Oryctolagus cuniculus: one gene and its partners. The protein of the gene in region 4 interacts with the protein of the main gene of each other region in a pairwise test. Links are inferred from orthologs where the notes say so. Each region holds a gene or a part of one and is shown on either strand. Other genes may lie near its edges.

Region 1 (3,500 bases), on a different chromosome or scaffold from region 4:
TAAATTACCCCCACCTCCTCTCCAGTGATTTGGCCTTTTTTCCCCCCTGATCTAGCTGCTCAGACCGATTGCAGTGGCATTTATGCACAGTCAGCAGTCACTTGGAGAGCAGGTCATACTCATGTCACCCAGAGGGGAAAAGGACCCCAGGCTGTGAGGAACAGGGGTGGACCACTGCGGGTGGGGGGTATCAAGAGGGCCTGAACCCATCTCCCTGAGAAAACAGGAGCAAGGTCCCCCATGAGAACACTGTGTGTTGTGTGGCATTGTGGACAAGCCAGGGAATCGAGCTGTGGCCAGAGAGCTAGAATCTGGGTGTTGGACAGGTTGGAGCAGCCCGAGGGCTTTGGGACCATGGAATGGGCTTGTGAGAGGATTGAGTCCTGCCCAGGAAACCTCCCTGTTAGATAGGGGTGCTAGGCCCCAACCACTAGTACCACTGTGTGTGTGTGTGTGTGTGTGTGTACAGATGCATGAGCCAAGAGGTTCTAAAGAGAGCTTTGCAGATATGAATGTGTGTGTGTCAGAGAAAATGCAGCTGTGGTGCAGCTGAGTGCGTCTCTGTACATTCTTGTGCATGTGTGGCAGGTGTGTGCTTGCACACGTGTCAGTGCAGACAAAGGAATGGCAGGCAGGAAAGTGTGGGCCTGGCTCTTGGAGGAAGGAGCTCTGTAGATGTTTCAGGCAACTGTAGGTGTGCGCGCGAGGCTGCAGGTACTGAGGTCTCTGGGGAGAGGGATATTATTAGTGAGTGCTGGTATTTCCGCATGCTGGCTGGGGGCTAAACTCGGCAACCAGATGAACTCTTGGAAGAGACTCTAGGGATGTGTTTTTGCTAAAAATGTTGCTTTCTCCTAAATCGGCTCAGGCTAGCACAGCTCTTTCCTGTGCTAGGATGGTGTTAGGAGGGCAGGCCCAGTCCCATCGTGGCCACTGAGCCTGCAGTGCTGGGGTCAAAGAGCTGGGAGGATGGGGTACACTCCTAATGGGCAGCTGAGGCACAGGTCTTCAGATGGGGCCACTCCCAGAGGGAGCCCAGAGGCCTGCAGTATGTCCAGCATGGGGACAGTCATCCAGCAGGTGACCGGGTCTCCTAGCCAAGCTCCAGGGAGAACTTTTGAGATCCCAGGCCCAGAGGAGGAGTGGATGGGGCCGGGTGGGTGCACAAAGCTCTCTTCCCTGCTTCAACCAGGACAATGCCTTAAAAAAGGAAAGGAACAAACCAACTGCATATATGGAGTTCTTTCTGCCAATAGATTTCCTCCCCATGCTTAATCACAAGCAAGAGTCCCTTAACAAGTTCCTGGAAAAGTGGAGTTAAAACATATGCTTGTTTTGGTGGGGAAAAAAATGGAAACCCATGCATTTGTTGTTGGTAATACACCTTTTCCAGGAAAATTTTGGCACTCAGGTGAGTGAGAGCCACTGCTGTGGAGGACCCCATGGTGGTGCAGACACTGTCCTTGTTCTGGGGTGACTGCCGGGCCAAAGCTGGCAATGGCTGGGCCCCCACCCCACATCCCAGCCGTCTCTGTTGAATCCCCACAGCTCTGAGTTTGCAGCCTCTGGCCCAGTTCCCACGCCTGTCTTGCCTTCCTCCCAGACATCCCAGCATGTCTTGCCTTGCTGAAACCCCACCTCGTTTTGGAACACAAAGCCCCATTCAGACAAAGAGCAGTCTCAGCCATCTTCTTCTCCCATTGTGTCCCCTGTCACCTCCTGGGTCCCACCTGCCTTGTCCCAGAGCTATTTCTGAGCATGTCTCTCTCGCCTTCCATGTGATGAGCTACTGCAGGGCAGAATGGCTCTGACTCATCACTGTGTCCCCAGTGCTCAGGGCAGGGTCTGGAGCTGACAAGCCAGCTGAATCACCTGTGAGCCACAGACAGAAGTAGAGGCGTGATATGGTGCCAAACTGTGGGGTCCAGGCTGTGTTCCGTGGAAATGCGAGACCACCCTTAGCTCTCAGTTGCACGCTCCTTCAAGGAAGACTGTGTCCAAGTCATCTTCCTGGCACTATGGATGGCTGGAAGGAAGAAAGGAGGGAGTTAGGAGAGGAGAAAAGAAGGGAAGGAAGTCGAAATGTGGAAGGAAGGAAAGGAAGAGGGAGAGAGGAGCAGAGAAAAGAAAAGTAGTTGAAGAAAGGAATAATGTAAGAAAGGATGAGTGAATGGATGAAAGGGGAAAGGGAAACTAACAATGGATGGATAGAAGGGTGGATGGATGGATGGATACATGGGTGGATGGGTGGATGGAGAGACACATGGGTGGATGGGTGAATGGGTACATGGGTGGATGGGTGGATGGAGAGACACATGGGTGGATGGGTGAATGGATACATGGGTGGATGGATGGATGGAGAGACACATGGGTGGATGGGTGAATGGATGTGTGGATGGGTGGAGAGACACATGGGTGGATGGGTGAATGGATGTGTGGGTGAATGGGTGGGTAGATGGATTAATGGATGGGTGGATGGCTGAGTGATGGATGTGTGCATGGAAGCATATATGGGTGGATGGGTGTGTGAGTTAATGGATGCGTGAGTAGATGGATGGAGGGAGAGAAAGAAGGAAGGATGGGTGGATAAATAGGTAGATGCTTGAGGTAGGAAGACTAGACTGGACAGTGGTCAGGGGAGTGCCGAGGGACAGACTGGGGCTGTATGTATCTGAGAGTGTCCTCTTGAGTGGTCTGGGCCTCAGATGTGTGCTGTGGGGGATCCGTCATGCAGCCACAGGATGGTGCCTTCCCTGACTCTGACTTAATTTCCCTCCTACTGTAGAACAAAACCCTAGCAACAAAGACTCAACCAAGTGTCAAGACAGCCTCTTTGTTAGCCAGTGGCCCCAGAGTCGGAAGGATACCTGTGGTGAGGAGGGTTGCAACGACCCAGTGGGCACCCCGTCCATGGCCCTGCCGCCCAAGAAGCCTGCATGGCCAGCCGAGAAGAATCTGCTGTATGAGTTCCTCGGAGCCACCAAAAACCCAAGTGGGCAGTTGAAGCTTCGCAACAAAGTGGATGTGGATGGGCTGGAGCTGAAATGTAAGCTGGCCTACGGTGGGGCTGCAGAGGAAGGAAGGGATTCCAGACACCCTGCTTAGGCTCTGGAGAGTGGTTGGGTCACCAAGAGGCTATGCTATCCATGGGCAAGTCACTGCTCTTCATATCCTTATCAGAAACGTGACCACTAGCAGGAGTGGGAACCTGTTTACTGCCAAGAGCCATTTCGATATGTATAACATCATTTGTGGGCCATAAAAAGTATCAACTTAAAAACTAACCTGTTGTAGATTTGTTGAATGTTGAGTTCCGACTGTGGTTGCCTTGGCAGAGCCAGATCTTATACAGCCCCTGGGCTGCCTGTTCCCTACCCCAGCGACCAGATGACTATAGTTGGCTTTCAGGGGTCACATGAACATTAGTAGTGATGAATTTTAAATATAGCCCCAACTCAACATAGACCATACACTCTCAAATTGCCCAAGATGAAAAAAAC
Region 2 (2,207 bases), on a different chromosome or scaffold from region 4:
TGAGCTAGGTAATAGGAAAGACTATTTTCCTAATTTTCTTTAAAATACTTATGACTATTTGATTAACAGATTTGGGGGGCCAGCACTGTGGCACAGCGGGTTAAGCCACCATCTGCAGTGCTGGCGTCCCATATGGGCACCAGTGCAAGTCCTGGCTGCTCCACTTCCGATCCAGCTCCCTGCTGATGTTCCTGGGAAATCAGCGGAAGATGGCCCAAGTCCTTGGGCCCCTGCACCCACATGGGAGACCTGGATGAAGCTCCTGGGTTCATGTCGTCAGCCTGGCCAAACCCTGGCTGTGTGGCCATTTGGGGAGTGAACCAGAAGATCAAAGATTCTCTCTCTCTCTCTCTCTCTGTGTGTGTGTGTGTCTTTGATTCTTCTCTGTAACCCTTTCAAATAAATAAATAAATCTTTACAAAAATAAATAAAAATATGGGGCCGGCACTGTGGCATAACAGGTAAAGCCACCGCCTACAGTGCTGGCATCCCATACGGGTTCAAGTTCCAGCTGTTCCACTTCCGAACCAGCTCTCTGCTCTGGCCTGGGAAGGCAGCAGAAGATGGCCCAAGTCCTTGGGCCCCTGCACCCACATGGGAGACCTGGATGAGGCTCCTGGCTCCTGGCTTTGGATCGGCACAGCTTTGGCCTTTACAGCCAACTGGGGAATGAACCAGAGGACAGAAGACCTCTCTCTCTGCCTCTCTGCCTCTTCTCTGTGTAACTCTGACTTTCAAGTAAATAAATAAATCTTTAAAAATAAATAAATAAAAAGATTACCATAGATAAAAGGGGCATTTTTGTAATGATCAAAGTATCAGTTATTTAGGAAGCCATTCCAATGGTAAATGTCTACGTTCTAAATAACAGAGCCTCTGACTACATGTAGCAGAAGTCAAAAGGAGAAGAAAAACAGGCAATTTCACAATCCCAATAAGAGAATTGTAATCTGTATCTCTCTTCCTCTCTCTCTCCATCTCTCTCTCTCAGCAATTAATAGAACTAAACAAAAAGTCAATAAAAGACAAAAGGGTTGAATGACTTTATCAACCACCTTGTCTAACCCATTATAGAATATGACACTGTAAAATCTTAAGTGTGTATGGTGTGTTCACCAAGACAGGCCAGATGCAGCCCTCAAGAAATTAGGAAGGCGGGAGAGAACGAGGGGACGCAACGGAGGCAGGCCGGAGCCGCTGCCGTCGCCATGACCCGCGGTAACCAGCGTGAACTCGCCCGCCAGAATAATATGAAAAAGCAGAGCGACTCGGTTAAGGGAAAGCGCCGAGATGACGGGCTGTCTGCTGCCGCCCGCAAGCAGAGGGACTCGGAGATCATGCAGCAGAAGCAGAAAAAGGCAAACGAGAAGAAGGAGGAACCCAAGTAGCTTTGTGGCTTCGTGTCCAGCCCTCTTGCCCTTCGCCTGTCTGCCTGGAGCCAGTCCCACCATGCTCGCGTTTCCTCCTGTAGTGCTCACAGGTCCCAGCACCGATGGCATTCCCTTTGCCCTGAGTCTGCAGCGGGTCCCTTTTGTGCTTCCTTCCCCTCAGGTAGCCTCTCTCCCCCTGGGCCACTCCTGGGGGTGAGAGGGTTACCTCTTCCCAGTGTTTTTTATTCCTGTGGGGCACACCCCAAAGTATTAAAAGTAGCTTTGTAAAAAAAAAAAAAAGAAGAAGAAGAAAGAAAGAAAGAAAGAAAGAAAGAAATTAGGAAGGCATTAAAACCATACAAACTTTAAAATATGACCGCAATAAAGTTAAATTAGAAAGAGTTGTGGCACAGCGGGTCCGAGCTGCTGCCTGGGATGCCGGCATCTCATATTGGAGTGCTCGCTCAGGTCCCGCTACTCTGTGCTTCTGGTCCAGCTCTCTGCTGATGTGCCCAGGAGGCAGCAGATGGGAGCCTCAGCACGTGGGCTCCTGCCACGCACATGGGTGATCTGGATCGAGTTCCTGGCTCCTGGGTGCTGTGGTCATTTGGGGAGTGATACAGCGGATGGGAGATCTCTCTCTCTCTCCCCCCCCCTTCATTTCAAATAATAAATCTTTTTTTAAAAGATTTTATTTATCTGAGAGGTAGAGATACAGACAGTGAGAGGGAGAGACAGAGAGAAAGGTCTCCCATCCACTGGTTCACTCCCCAGATGGCCGCAATGGCTGGAGCTGCGCCGATCTGAAGCCAGGAGCCAGGAGCTTCCTCTGGGTCT
Region 3 (3,500 bases), on a different chromosome or scaffold from region 4:
CGGCTGGGGAAGTCACTTCTGCTCCTCCCTGGGGAGCTAGACCCTCCTTACCCGCCCCCCCTCCACCGACGACGCACACACACAATTTTGCACCTGGGACCTTCTTCCTGCCCATTCGTCCTGCTGGGAGGGAGGGCGGGGGAGGCAGGAGATGGCCCCATCACCACTGTCTGGAGCTGAGGGTGCAGAATAGGGGCTGGGGGCTCCCGGCAGCATTGGGAGCCCTTTTCACAGTGACCTCCAGCGTGACTTCATGGGGAAGGGGCTGTGTCCAGGCCCCTGGACCCATGACATGGCTCTGGCCGGGGGAGGGGATGGGCGGTGGGTGCAGCCTAGCAGCCTCTTGCTGACTGAGGGGTGGTCTTTGCCCTCCTCCTGCCCTGGGCTTTACTGGGTCTCCCGGCTTGTCTTCCCACTGGATGCTAGCTGTGCCACCTGGAGGCTATCTCTGGTACTGCAGCCCAGCCACTGCACCAGGCAGGGGGAATGGGACCCTCAAACCACTAGGCACCTAAGATCGCAGCAGGGTCAAACCCTTGGTGCATTAATTTGCTACGGCAGCCACAACAGAGTGCCACGCACTGGGGGGGGGAGTGCTTAACAGAGATTTATCATCTTCCAGTTCTGGATTCTAGAACATCAAATCAAGGCGGGGGGTGCTGGCAAGGGTGCTTCCTTCTTTTAAACAAATTCAAGTTATTTTCACTTTTTTAAAAGATGATTTTTTAAAAGATTTATTTTATTTATTTGAAAGAGTTACAGAGAGAGGTACTGAGAGAGAGAGAGAGAGAGAGAGAGAGAGAGAGAAAAGTCTTCCATCTACTGGTTCACTCCCTGATTATTCATAAGGTTGGGTCTCTCTGAGCTGTGAAGTAGAATCTGCTTTGTCCTCATGCCGGGCCCCTGGCAGGTGCTGCCGCGATATCTGGGGTTCCTGGGCTCATGGGCGCACCCCCTGCTGTCTGCTCCATCTTCCATGGCCTTCTCCCTGTGTGCGAGTCTGTGTCCAAGTCTCCCCTTTGTAGACGGACACCATTCATCTGTAGAGGACTAGGGGCCCATGCTACACTAGTGTGGCCTTATCTTTTTTTTTTTTTTAGGATTGATTTATCTTATTTGAAATTCAAAATTACAGAGAGAGAGAGAGAGGGAGACAGAGAGAGAAAGAGAGATCCTCCAGACCCGTCGCGGGTTAATAGTAGCTGGCTTTGGCGGACAGCTCGTCCGATGCCCACAGTGGTGTGCGTGCCTGTGACTCAGGAGCTCTTACTCACTGCCCCTCCTGCCATTTGCCCATTTGACAGATGGACAGATCGGGGAGAGCTCCGGTCGCCCAGCCAGTAAGCGACCACGGATTCGAGTCAGCTGTGAATCGGCTCAGAGCTCCTGCTCCATCTGATCCACGCACACGCAGTCCCCACGTGTGTCACGACAAACACAGGTTGCCTGGGCCCACGGCCCAGAGAACGACAGGCAGCTTCCCGAGGGTAGGGCAGGGCATCCGGGACTGCAGGTGGTTCCTCAGGGGTGGGCCCCGTCACTGGGGGTGGGGCCTGATGAGATGATCATGATCTGATTTGCTGGGAGCCTGGGCCCGAGGCATCCCCTAGCTCACTCCCCAGATGACCGCAACGGCCAATACAGGGCCAGGTCAAAGCCAGGAGCCCGGAACACCATAGGGCCTCCCACATGGGTGCAGGGGCCCAAGCACTCGGGCCATCTTCTGCTGCTTTCCTGGGTATATTAGCAGGGAGCTGGATCAGAAGTGGAGCAGCCAGGACTCAAACAGGTGCTGGTGTCACGGGCGGTGGCCTAACCCACTGCTTAAGGCCGGCCCCTTCAGCACCATCTTGAGGGGGACATAATTCGGTCTGGACCAGGAAATGGGCTCAGTCAGACCTCACTCAGGCCCTCACCTTGAGGCTGCCCCAGTCTGAGGGGGAGACACGGGCTCTGCTCCCCGGAAGCCCCACCTAACACAGGCAGGGAGAAGTAAAAGCGGACACAGTGTGGTCTGAGAAAGGGAGCCGTGCAGTCCCTGAGGGACAGTTGGGGGCCGACATGTCGGAGTGTCTCTGAGAAGGGAGCTGGAGGCAAAAGCCTGCCTGGGTGATGGCTGGGTCCAGGTTGAGGGGGCATGTGCACGTGTGTGCCTGTGCATGTATGTGTGTGCACGCACATGTGTGTGCATACATGTAAATGCATGTGTGCGTGTGTGTGTGTGTGTGTATTCAACAGGCCCAGATCTCTCCCTGAACACCAAGTGTGGTCTCATTATGGGTAACCAAGGCAGCAAAGGCCTCTGGAGCCCTGTGGGGCAGGGGCTGGGGTGGCTTCGCACCCTGTCACCACTGGTGAGCGTCACCCTGCTGGGTGCAAGGTGCAGGAAGATTGGGTCCCTGGGCAGAGGCTGCTGTGTCCCCAGGACGCACTGCCACATGCTTGCCTGTCACAGGGGTGTCAGCGCCTGCTGTGGGGCTGCAAACAGGACTCCGGCTTCCCAACGTGTGACTGCACGGCCACGCCGCTGTCTCCCCCAGCGGCCTCCTCTCCCCAGCCCTGAACTCTGCCCTGTGGCCCTCTCAAGCCCCAGGCATCTTGGCCAGCCTCCTTGTGTGTGGGTGTTTCTGACACCCTGCACAGTCCCCACACATTGTAATGCTGCTGTGCTTGAAACAGATCCCACGACGCCCCCTTTGCCTCTCCTTGGGTTGGGGGCCACCAAAGACTGGGGCGTTTCAGCTGGGATGCGGGGCCCCTGGCTGCTGCCGCATCGATTTCTCTCTCTCTTTCTCTGTCTGCTCAGGTATGAAGCGGCCGCTGAGCCCATCGCCCCCGGGTGAGAAGGAGCCCCCCACAGCTGGCCCTGCTGAGTGCCCCCCTCGGCCCCCCGAAGCGCCGAAGCCCAAGCGGGAGAGGAAGCGGCCGTCGTACACGCTCTGTGATGTGTGTAACATCCAGTTGAACTCCGCCGCCCAGGCGCAGGTGCACTGCGGGGGGCGCGCCCACCAGAGGCGGCTTCGGCAGCTCAGCTTGGGCAAAAGCCCCTCGGGGCCAGGTCAGTGTGCGGGGGGGGGGGGGAGGCAGCTCCTACGCAGTGCAGGCCCCCCAGGGCTGGAATCCCCCTGTCTCGACCGCTGTGAGTGGCTCTGGGCCCGTGGCCTCCCTCTGTGGGGTCTGAGGCTCCTTGATGACATCAGGTTTTGTTTTGTTTTGTTTTTACATCTGGACAACTGCAGGGTCGCTGAGGCTCCTTCAGCCTCCTCTTGAGGTCTTGTTTCTGGGGGCCCTCCCCTTGGGGTCTTCGGGGATCAGGACCCCTAACGAGCATTTCTCCAGTGCGGGGCCCAGGCGAGGACGGAGTTGCAGACAACGGTCTACCTGTAGGGAGTCCCAGGCTCCTGCCGTGACCTCTGAAGGCCGGGGTCAGCGAGGTGTACGGCACGGGCGGCCCCCTTCCTTCAGCGGCTGGAGTCACGGCCAGGGTTTCTGCCTGTCCC
Region 4 (3,311 bases):
AGGTAAACACACACATATACATATATTGTATACATACACAATTATTTTTATATGTATCACTGCCTGCCAGAATTTCCCATCTAAACCTACAATTTGAAATGTTTTATTAAAAACATTTAATGGAGGTAAAATATATACAAACCTAAATACAATGAAACCAAAATAATGTAGAAGCTAGAATCTACTCTGTACATATTACTTTCCTTCCTAACAAGATAGTGTATTATTATTATTATTATTATTATTATTATTATTTTTTTTTTTTGACAGGCAGAGTGGACAGTGAGAGAGAGAGACAGAGAGAAAGGTCTTCCTTTGCCGTTGGTTCACCCTCCAATGGCCGCCGCGGCCAGTGCGATGCGGCCGGCGCACCGCGCTGATCCGATGGCAGGAGCCAGGAGCCAGGTGCTTTTCCTGGTCTCCCGTGGGGTGCAGGGCCCAAGCACCTGGGCCATCCTCCACTGCACTCCCTGGCCACAGCAGAGGGCTGGCCTGGAAGAGGGGCAACCGGGACAGAATCCGGTGTGCCGGCGCCGCTAGGCGGAGGATTAGCCTAGTGAGCTGCGGCGCCGGCCGATAGTGTATTTTTGAATGATACCATATTACAAGTGGCTCGTTGCTACATTTATTCTGTATATGCCATGGCTGTGTCTACAAATATGAAACATCTGGAGTAAAACTGAAAAACCCAAACACCAAAGATGTTTTTAAGTGCTTTTATATGAGATTATCAAGTTAATAAGACTGCCAGATGACTAAATTTTTAAAACTTTATCAAGTTATTTATTTGTCTTATAATCTTTGTTCTATTTGCTACAATTTGACATCTACATTACTTAAGTGTGTGAATAAATCAAGGATATCATGATTTTATCCTGCACCTCCAGTGTTCTGGCTACTAATATTTCTTTAGTTGTCTTACAAAAGCAAGAGAACATTTAACCTATAACACATCCCAAACCCTCTATTTTTTACCAGACCACATACAGGGCTAGTTGTTTTCTATTACCAGACAAAATAGTTATCCAGGATTCTACTTAACAGAATCAGTAGAGGAAGGTGGAGTAAGAATTGACTCCTCTGCTCTGAAATTTTTTCTAGGATGAAAATGTGGGCTTTGAGAATACCGGGGTTTCAAACCTACAGATGAAGGCTGGGAAAAGCTTCTTCTCACACAATGTAACCTTGTTCCTATTAAGAGATTTAAACAAGATTAGGGTTTCAATGCATTTTAAATGACTAATTTTACAATTACTTAAGGGAAAAATTAAAAAAAAATAAGAATAACTGGGCATGGATTCTGGAGAGAAAAGGTTTGCTTAAGGAAATTCCCACTAAAAAGAGTAGGATACCCTATAACCTGCTGCTGGACAGGGAGGAATCCTACAGCTATAAAAAGAGACTTGCTATAAGGGGTCTGAGGTGGTATCCCCAATGGCATTTCTAAATTGATAGGTTATACTTCCTTTTGCATCCCTGAACTCTGGTAAAGATTTGTTAAACGATTTAGAGTTGGATCCTGTGGACAAGAAAACACCTCTCCAGAGAAAAATTAGAGAATTATTAATATACTACCTTTATTTAATTTATTTATTTATTTTTTTGACAGGCAGAGTGGACAGTGAGAGAGAGACAGAGAGAAAGGTCTTCCTTTGCCGTTGGTTCACCCTCCAATGGCCGCCGCGGCCAGTGCGATGCGGCCGGCGCACCGCGCTGATCCGATGGCAGGAGCCAGGAGCCAGGTGCTTTTCCTGGTCTCCCGTGGGGTGCAGGGCCCAAGCACCTGGGCCATCCTCCACTGCACTCCCTGGCCACAGCAGAGGGCTGGCCTGGAAGAGGGGCAACCGGGACAGAATCCGGTGTGCCGGCGCCGCTAGGCGGAGGATTAGCCTAGTGAGCTGCGGCGCCGGCCGATAGTGTATTTTTGAATGATACCATATTACAAGTGGCTCGTTGCTACATTTATTCTGTATATGCCATGGCTGTGTCTACAAATATGAAACATCTGGAGTAAAACTGAAAAACCCAAACACCAAAGATGTTTTTAAGTGCTTTTATATGAGATTATCAAGTTAATAAGACTGCCAGATGACTAAATTTTTAAAACTTTATCAAGTTATTTATTTGTCTTATAATCTTTGTTCTATTTGCTACAATTTGACATCTACATTACTTAAGTGTGTGAATAAATCAAGGATATCATGATTTTATCCTGCACCTCCAGTGTTCTGGCTACTAATATTTCTTTAGTTGTCTTACAAAAGCAAGAGAACATTTAACCTATAACACATCCCAAACCCTCTATTTTTTACCAGACCACATACAGGGCTAGTTGTTTTCTATTACCAGACAAAATAGTTATCCAGGATTCTACTTAACAGAATCAGTAGAGGAAGGTGGAGTAAGAATTGACTCCTCTGCTCTGAAATTTTTTCTAGGATGAAAATGTGGGCTTTGAGAATACCGGGGTTTCAAACCTACAGATGAAGGCTGGGAAAAGCTTCTTCTCACACAATGTAACCTTGTTCCTATTAAGAGATTTAAACAAGATTAGGGTTTCAATGCATTTTAAATGACTAATTTTACAATTACTTAAGGGAAAAATTAAAAAAAAATAAGAATAACTGGGCATGGATTCTGGAGAGAAAAGGTTTGCTTAAGGAAATTCCCACTAAAAAGAGTAGGATACCCTATAACCTGCTGCTGGACAGGGAGGAATCCTACAGCTATAAAAAGAGACTTGCTATAAGGGGTCTGAGGTGGTATCCCCAATGGCATTTCTAAATTGATAGGTTATACTTCCTTTTGCATCCCTGAACTCTGGTAAAGATTTGTTAAACGATTTAGAGTTGGATCCTGTGGACAAGAAAACACCTCTCCAGAGAAAAATTAGAGAATTATTAATATACTACCTTTATTTAATTTATTTATTTATTTTTTTGACAGGCAGAGTGGACAGTGAGAGAGAGACAGAGAGAAAGGTCTTCCTTTTGCCGTTGGTTCACCCTCCAATGGCTGCTGCGGCCGGCGCACCGCACTGATCTGAAGCCAGGAGCCAGGTGCTTTTCCTGGTCTCCCATGGGGTGCAGGGCCCAAGCACCTGGGCCATCCTCCACTGCACTCCCTGGCCACAGCAGAGAGCTGGCCTGGAAGAGGGGCAACCGGGACAGAATCCGGCGCCCCGACCGGGACTAGAACCCGGTGTGCCGGCGCCGCTAGGCGGAGGATTAGCCTAGTGAGCCGCGGCGCCGGCCTATACTACCTTTATTTAATAGAACAATATTTTAATCCTCTTGTTAACTAAAAATATC
Region 5 (4,074 bases), on a different chromosome or scaffold from region 4:
GGATGGAAGCCCTCTCTCTCTCTCCCTCCCTCTCTGTAACTCTGCCTCTCAAATAAATAAAATCTCAAAAACAAAAGAAACCATCTCCCTGGGACTGGCATTGTGGCAGGGCTGGTTAAGCTGCTAGTGACGCCAGCATCCCATATTTGGTTTGAGTCCCTGCTGCTCTGCTTCTGAGCTCCCTATTAATGTGCTGGGAAAGCAGCAGATGGTGGCCCAAGTATTTGGACCCCTGCTATCCATGTGGGAGACCCAGGTCTCCTGGCTTTGTCCTGGCCCAGCCCTGGCTACTGTGGCCACTTGGGGGAGTGAACCAGTGGAGGGAAGCTCTCTCTGTCACTGTGCCTTTCAAATCAATCAATCAATCATAAAAATTGCCGAATTTTACAAATGATCGAGCTGAGGTTCAAAGGGATGAAGTAACTTGTGTAAACTAGATAGCAAGTCCAAGGCTAGCATCTAGGTCATACACACATCATTTTATTCCTGGGACTTCATCTACAGGGCACATCATGGGGTGAGAGAGAAAACTCATTGTACACATCTCCAGCCACACAAAGTTGATAAGCAATGAAGTGCCATTCATGCCGCAAGGTGCTAAGAAAGTGAATCGCGAATATGACCCGGCGGCCTGCGATCTGGATCTGCCACCTTGGAGACCACGGTCTCCATCTACCCACCAGCCTCAAAACGGGTGTGCACGCACTATGCAAACCTTAGAGCTCTTACACGCATCGGAGATAATTAAGATCACCAGCGATATAATAATTACGATTAGAGCGGAAGCTCTCAGAATTGCAGAGCGCCACGCAGGAGCGGCTCCGACCCTAGACTCGAGATCCCATTCTTCTATGGGAGGCCCCACCCCTAAGCAGAAAGAAGGCGGCTGGACAAGCGAACCGAGGACACAACTCCGAACAACTAGTCCAGCAAACCGGAGCTGCTTCCCAGCCCTCAGGCCTGCCCCAGGCCGACGCCCCGCCCCCAGAGGCGGCAGGCCCCGCCCCCGCCGCGCCGCGCCTCCAGGCCGATCCCGCGCCGGGGCCGGAGATTCCCGAGTGTCCCCGAGCTCTTCCCGGCCTCCCTCGGGCGGCGGGCGCGGAGGCCGCGGAGATTGCCGAGGGGCGCTGGCCACGCCCCTTCGGCGGGCTCGCCGCCGCCGCCGCCGCCGCCGCCGCCCCCTCGCCTCAGCCTCCCGCGCGGGCGGGAGTCGTCCATCCCGGTCCCTCCTTCCCTCTTTCTCTCTCCCCGCCTTCCCGGCGCTGCCACAGTGGCGGGTCGGAGGATCCCGGCCAGTCAGCTCGTCCCAGCCTCGCGCCCCTCCTCTCCCCCCCCCAAATAAACAGCCCTCCCCACGCCTCGGGAGCCGGACCGCCCCCTTCCTCCCTCGGCCGGCGTGCGGTGAGGGAGAGTGCGAGCGGCCGAGCGCGGGCCAGCGGCCGAGCTCCGGGGGCGCCAGAGGCGGCGCGGCGCGGCGGGCCGGCCGGGCGTCGCGTGTGCGTGCCGGGGCGCGAGCGAGGGCCCGTCGCGAGCCGCCGGCGGCCCCACGCCGACGACCCCGAGGAGCGGCGGGCGCGAGCCAGCCGCGGAGGGGCGCCGGGCCCGCGCGCGCGCACGCACGCACGCACGCGGGGGGCGGGGGCAGGCGCGCACCCGCCTGTCGCGACAGTCGGGGCCGAGGCCCAGGGGGAGGTGGCCTGTCGCAGGTCGCCCGGCTCCCGGAGGCGAGGGGGGCGCGGGCGGATGGCGGAAGGCGCCCAGCCGCAGCAGCCGTCTCAGCTCGGGCCCGGCGCCACTGCCCGGGGCATGAAGCGGGAGTCGGAGCTGGAGCTGCCGGTGCCCGGAGCGGGAGGAGACGGAGCCGAACCCGGCCTGAGCAAGCGGCCGCGCACCGAGGAGGCGGCGGCCGACGGCGGCGGCGGGATGCAGGTGACCGCGCGGCTCGGGGCGCCCCGTTATCGCGGGGGTGCGGAACGTGCCTGGCGGGGGGGGCGGCCCGGGCTCCGGGGCTTGGAGAGGGGGAGGGCTCCGCGGGGTCCCGGGGGGAGGTGGGCAGGGGCGGGCCGGGGCCTTCTTGGAAGCTGGGGCGAGCTCGGGTACGGCAGGATCCCGGGGTGCTCGGGAGGGTCCTGCGTCGATGAGGCTTTTGGGGGGAGTCGACCCTGGGCGGGTTGGAGTCCACGTCTTCAAACCCTGCCTTGGCTTCCGAGGGTGGAGTGGAAGCTGGGAAGTCCTGGGTGTGGGGTTGGCCCGGAGAGCCGCGGGGCTGAGTGGGGGGCGAGGGGGCCGTGGTGGGAGCCTCTCGAGGAGGAGGAGTGCCTTTTTGGCGGCCCTCGCACACCCTGGGCTGGGGTAGGGGAGCGGCGTGTGGACGAGAGAAGCGAAAAGCGAAGAAACTCCTCGAGAGAGCCCAAAGGGGATGTGGCTTGGGTTGTGGGTTCAATCAGTTCCCCAGTGAGTGGGAGGCGCGGGGAGACCGCGGGGTGGCGTGGGCACTGGGGTGCTCAGCCTCTTCACTTTGCGGCTCGTGCGGTTGAGTTTGAAGAGAGACACGGGACAGGTCTCTCCTGTACTTAACATGGTTAGGGCACCGTATAGCTCTCTCTTCATTGTCCTGGGGTATCAAAGGGAATTTATGGGCTTCTTAGAAGCCTGGATTCTGGCTTGTGGACCCAAGGATAAGCGGGCCGATTTGAGTCGTGAGTGGGAGAGGTGTGGATGGCGCCAGCTGAGTTTGGTAGGTTTTAGGATTTGGTCTCTGTTCGGGCATGCTTGCTATGAACAGGTGAGTGGGACTGGCCTGCCACCCGTTATTTTGACATCTGATTCTCTTGGAATCATAGAACGTTAGGAGGAGAGGGACCAGAGGTGACATCTTTTCCAGGGGCTGTTAACCTGGATAGACTTGGAAGATTTTTAAGCAGAATAGTTGATATGCACTTTTTGCTGGAGGAGAATCAGTGGTTTTTTTTTTTTGGTGGGTATTGAAGCCCCTGCATGTTTTTAACTACCTCGTTTTATAGAGGGGGAGTCGCAGTCCCAGGACGACCATCTGCCTGCCTCTCGCCCAGTAGCGGCCGGGAGTCTAGAACCAGCAGTGTGGCCTTCTGATTCCTGTTCCTGGGCTGTCTCCATTCCACCAACTCTTGGAAATCTCTGCTGTGCTAGAAGACTTCCTGTGCTCCCTCCCTGCTCGGCGAGGCTCTGCCTGACTTCCTGTGTTGGAGCCCGAGCTCTGCTTAAGCCCGGTGTGCGTGCCCTGCACCTCTCCCTGTCCGTTGTGGAGTCTGTCCTGTTACCAATGTTGGTTTGGGTAACGTGACCCTCTTGCTGTTTATTTTTGAATTCTTTTCTTTGCCTGCTTCCATTCTCCATTAGAACTCTGGCAAGGAGGAGTAAAACTCATGGCCATGGAAAATAGAGAGGCATACCAGGAGACTTCAGGTGCGGGTGGGTTGCCACTGGATGGAAGGAGGGAAGACTGGGCGAGGTGCTGTTAGTGTGTGCCTGTGCTCTGTGTGTGTGTGTGTGTTCAGTCGTAGTTGGCACGGTTGGACCTGGGGTCCATTATTTGCTTGTTGCCTTCAAACCAAGAGCAGTGGTATTTGGGTATAGAGCAGCGTCTGGGGACTTCGCGGGGTGGGGGTGTGCAGAGGAAGGCGTGGATGAGTGTGGGTGCAGATGGGCAACCTGGAACTGGCACGGAGAATACTCTTCTCACTTTATACATTGGCAGGTTGGAGGTCTGGCACACCGTGGCACGCCGGTGTTCCGGTCATTGATTCTGCCAGACTGCTGTATGGGTTTAGGGAAACCTCTTATTTTGGGGCTTTTGTTTCCCTGCTTGTGCAATAAAGTATTTGTACAAGGTGATTTCTGGAAACATGTAAGTCAGATTCCCTGTCCTTAAGGTACGCACAGTTAAGGTGTGGAGACAAATTGGTGAAAGAAACTGTGTGTGTGTGTGTCTATAAATTCAGTGTTCCTTTACTCTTGTAACTAATCTTTATTGAACAGCTGTTGCATGCCTGTCAGGTTTCTTTTTTCTTTTTTTTTTTTTTTTTGAGATTTATG
Region 6 (3,500 bases), on a different chromosome or scaffold from region 4:
AACAGTACGTGTCTCAGTAAGATGTTAGAAACAATCTTTTACGGTGCATCAGCTTGCATTATGTGATTTTGTATCAGGTTCAAGAAAGTGTTGTTTGCTGTGGGTAATGGAATTCTTCTATGCCTTTTTGCCAATAAGGTCATAGGTGGGTCTGACATCAAGAAAGACTGATGAATGTTTATTTTCTTAGAAATGTAAGCTATTAGTAATGAAGGTCTTTTCCTTTAAAGAGTTATTCTAGTGACATCAGTAGGTATCTTTAATTTTGTTTCACTTTTTAAAGGAATTGTACTTATTTTTCCTTATTGCATATTATTCTATTGATATACTTTTTCAGGAACATCTACTAATTTCCACCAAACTAATGCTTTTATTTCAGTTAATGGTCAACCCAGACCCCTTGAATCAAGTCAGGTGAAATACCTCCGTCGAGAACTGATAGAGCTTCGCAATAAAGTGAATCGCTTATTGGACAGCTTGGAGCCACCTGGAGAGCCAGGACCTCCCACCAGTATTCCTGACAATGGTAAACCATGAATCAGCTTAAATTTGATTTATTGTTACATCTTTTCTTGCAGACCTTTTTAGATTTGCTTTTTTTAAGCCCTTTAGTAGGAGTAGGGTGGCATCCTCAGTGTAACTCTTGTTTCTGCCTCTGTGGTAGTGTTCATCGTCTATGTCTGTGTTCTCAAACTTGGCCAGCTGTTCATCAGGCTTACTGGAGGTTTCATTATACCAGTTTCTTCATCTCATTACAAACCTATTGGAGGATAGGGCTTGGAAATCCCATCTTACAGAGTGATGTTTGAGTCTTCTAAAACTAGTCTTACACTAGTTTCATAATATCTGTCGGTTTTCAAACCTCTAACTCATTGAACGCTTTCCGGTGTAATAGGTGATTAATTTTAGAAATTGAAAATTATTTCTTGAAGTATATTATATAGGTTCAAGTAAAAAAAATAGTGTAGTAAAAGCATATAACAATTGTTTGAAACACAATTTTTAATATAAAAAACTGATTTTTTTGCTTTCATTTTATACATGATAGGTACTATTTATGTTAAGATAAAGATAATTAACAAATGGAATGGACATATTTTTGGAAATTTAAGTATATAGTGTGGCTTGAAAAAATATATATATTTTTTTTAATTTATTTGAAAGGTAGAGTCATAGAGAGACAGAGAGAAAGGTCTTCCCTCCGTTGGTTCACTCTCCACATGGCTGCCACGGCCGGCGCTGCGCCGATCTGAAGCCAGGAGCCAGGTGCTTCTTCCTGGTCTCCCATGCGGGTGCAGGGCCCAAGCACCTGGACCATCTTCCAGTGCCCTCCCGGGCCACAGCAGAGAGCTGGACTGGGAGAGGAGCAGCCAGGACTAGAACCCAGCACCCATATGGGATGCTAGTGCTGCAAGGCGGAGGATTAACCAAGTGATCCATGGCGCCAGCCCCTTGAAAGTAGATTTTTAAAAACTACTTTTCTTAATTTTTAAGATTCTTAGATGTCACACTTTAAAAAGCTTGATTTTTTTTTTACATAGTTCTTATTTGCTTATAACTTTTATGTAACACTTTCCGTATTATGGATTTTTAAAAACAAAGTCAGGAATGAATGTTAAAGGGCTTAATGGAGATGATTTTTTTATGAAAAAGTGGCACCTGTAATCCTTGCAACCTTTAGGTTCTGAGATATTCTATTTTTGGCTCCTAAATAATTTTGGAGCCATGGTTTTTTTTTTCTTTAGTTATAGCTTATTAAGAGGCAGATTCCATAATTTCCCTCTTTCTTTCTTCTTCCAGTCATGTGGAATTTGTGTTAATTGCTCCAAAAGTATTTGGTGAGAATATTTTGTAGTTCTACCTATTTTATAACATATTGGAGATTTGCTGGAATCTTATAAAGAAATCTTCTTGGTCACTTTATGATGAAACTCTTTATGGTCAGACATTACATATTCTGAAACCCACCTCTCCAAACAAAAAGGACCAGTTTTAAAGAATCTGATTAAAAATGTAGACCATTTTTCAAGAATTCATAGTTTTTTTTTTTTTTTTTTTTTTTTTAATATTTGACAGGTGGGGTTATAGACAGAGAGAGAGACAGAAAGAAAGGTCTTCCCTTGGTTCACCCCCAAATGGCTGCTATGGCTGGCGTGCTGCGCCGATCCAGAGCCAGGAGCCAGGAGCTTCCTCCTGGTCTCCCACACAGGGCAGGGTCCAAGCACTTGGGCCATTCTCCACTGCCTTCCCGGGCCACAGCAGAGAGCTGGACTGGAAGAGGAGCAACTGGGACTAGAACCCGGCGCCCATGTGGGATGCTGGCGCTGCAGGCGGAGGATTAACCAAGTGAGCCACGGTGCCAGCCCCAAGAATTCATAGGTTCTAATACAACATTTGCATGTAATTTTTGAGAGTTATGTGCTTGTGATGTAGCCTTGGAATTAGAAGAAGGAAGTTGATAAGAAAGATAGCTTGTAGATATACTGTAAAGCGGTGCTTATAGTATTTTGTTCTCCCCTGAGAAATTTAGGAAATATTGGAATACCCTGGAAAACCAAGTTAGGAATGAATGGATGTGTGTATTAGGAGGGCTTATATTTTACTTAGTTTTGTTTTTTGTTTTATTATTTTTGAAATATTTCTTTATTTGAAAGTCAGTAGAGAGAGAGGGTGAGACAGAGGCCTTCCATCTGCTGGTTTACTCCCCAGATGGCTGCAATGGTCAGGGCAGAGCCAGGCTAAAGATTTTCCCACATGGGTGCAGGGTCCCAAACACTTGGGCCATCTTCTGCTGCTTTTCTCAGGCTGGATCGAAAAGTTGAGCAACCAGGAAGACACAAACTCGTGTCCATAAGGGATGCCTGCGTTGCATGCGGCAGCTTCACTCACTTTGCTGTAATGCTGGCCCTGTGTTTTTTTTTTGGCAAGAGAAGTTTTGTACTGATTCCAGGGGTCACACCCATCTATCTAACAACTGTTGGTCATTTACCTGATAACAGAACACAACTGATAATCATCACTGTTAAATAGCCACTTTTTTGTATACATGTTTGTTTTCTTTTGATAACTTTTTTTTGTATTCCTGTTGATAATACAGAGGTTGTTCTTGAATCCCTTTTTTTTACAAGGTAATAGTATAATTGCCTGTTGAATAACTTAGTATACTTAGAAGAAATGTATATTTAAATTAACCTGCCCATAATATTAAACATTTTATTTTTGCTTTAAAAAAAGTACTTTTAAATGGAGAAATATAAGTATATATATAAGTATACATAATGTGAATATTATAGTGAATCCCATGAACTCACATCCAACTTAAGCCATTATTAAATTATTGTCATGTCATATATCCTCCCAGTTTCTCCACCCTTCCCATATTATTCGGAAGCAGATCTCAAACATGCATCATTTTTATCTGTATGTATTTTAATAAGTAATTTAATAAGTAATAAATACTTAAAAGTAAGTATTAGGCATGAATTCTGTTTGACTTGATT

What was found.
Region 1: the proteins of BOLL (region 4) and C7H1orf94 interact in binary tests that used the Homo sapiens proteins (3 or more experiments, as listed by UniProt). The two-hybrid records come from large-scale screens. The link is inferred for Oryctolagus cuniculus from reciprocal best matches to the Homo sapiens genes BOLL and C1orf94.
Region 2: the proteins of BOLL (region 4) and small EDRK-rich factor 2 interact in a two-hybrid assay, tested with the Homo sapiens proteins (2 studies listed by BioGRID and IntAct). The two-hybrid records come from large-scale screens. The link is inferred for Oryctolagus cuniculus from reciprocal best matches to the Homo sapiens genes BOLL and SERF2.
Region 3: the proteins of BOLL (region 4) and ZNF385C interact in a two-hybrid assay, tested with the Homo sapiens proteins (2 studies listed by BioGRID). The two-hybrid records come from large-scale screens. The link is inferred for Oryctolagus cuniculus from reciprocal best matches to the Homo sapiens genes BOLL and ZNF385C.
Region 5: the proteins of BOLL (region 4) and RBFOX2 interact in binary tests that used the Homo sapiens proteins (3 or more experiments, as listed by UniProt). The two-hybrid records come from large-scale screens. The link is inferred for Oryctolagus cuniculus from reciprocal best matches to the Homo sapiens genes BOLL and RBFOX2.
Region 6: the proteins of BOLL (region 4) and TFG interact in binary tests that used the Homo sapiens proteins (3 or more experiments, as listed by UniProt). The two-hybrid records come from large-scale screens. The link is inferred for Oryctolagus cuniculus from reciprocal best matches to the Homo sapiens genes BOLL and TFG.

What each region holds. Positions count from the first base shown.
Region 1 is NC_091438.1:138,426,454-138,429,953, reverse strand, and holds part of C7H1orf94 (uncharacterized protein C1orf94 homolog), read left to right. Parts: intron 1-2,785; coding exon 2,786-3,046; intron 3,047-3,500.
Region 2 is NC_091438.1:8,272,160-8,274,366, forward strand, and holds small EDRK-rich factor 2, read left to right. Parts: upstream 1-1,149; 5' UTR 1,150-1,208; coding exon 1,209-1,388; 3' UTR 1,389-1,707; downstream 1,708-2,207. UniProt on the Homo sapiens protein: Positive regulator of amyloid protein aggregation and proteotoxicity. Induces conformational changes in amyloid proteins, such as HTT, driving them into compact formations preceding the formation of aggregates.
Region 3 is NC_091448.1:20,707,216-20,710,715, forward strand, and holds part of ZNF385C (zinc finger protein 385C), read left to right. Parts: intron 1-1,211; exon of another isoform or gene 1,212-1,487; intron 1,488-2,806; coding exon 2,807-3,058; intron 3,059-3,500.
Region 4 is NC_091434.1:42,598,313-42,601,623, reverse strand, and holds the end of BOLL (protein boule-like), read right to left. Parts: intron 2,522-3,311; coding exon 2,371-2,521; 3' UTR 501-2,370; downstream 1-500. UniProt on the Homo sapiens protein: Probable RNA-binding protein, which may be required during spermatogenesis. May act by binding to the 3'-UTR of mRNAs and regulating their translation.
Region 5 is NC_091442.1:113,493,836-113,497,909, reverse strand, and holds the start of RBFOX2 (RNA binding protein fox-1 homolog 2), read left to right. Parts: upstream 1-1,274; 5' UTR 1,275-1,743; coding exon 1,744-1,929; intron 1,930-4,074. UniProt on the Homo sapiens protein: RNA-binding protein that regulates alternative splicing events by binding to 5'-UGCAUGU-3' elements. Prevents binding of U2AF2 to the 3'-splice site.
Region 6 is NC_091435.1:55,295,295-55,298,794, forward strand, and holds part of TFG (protein TFG), read left to right. Parts: intron 1-379; coding exon 380-526; intron 527-3,500. UniProt on the Homo sapiens protein: Plays a role in the normal dynamic function of the endoplasmic reticulum (ER) and its associated microtubules. Required for secretory cargo traffic from the endoplasmic reticulum to the Golgi apparatus.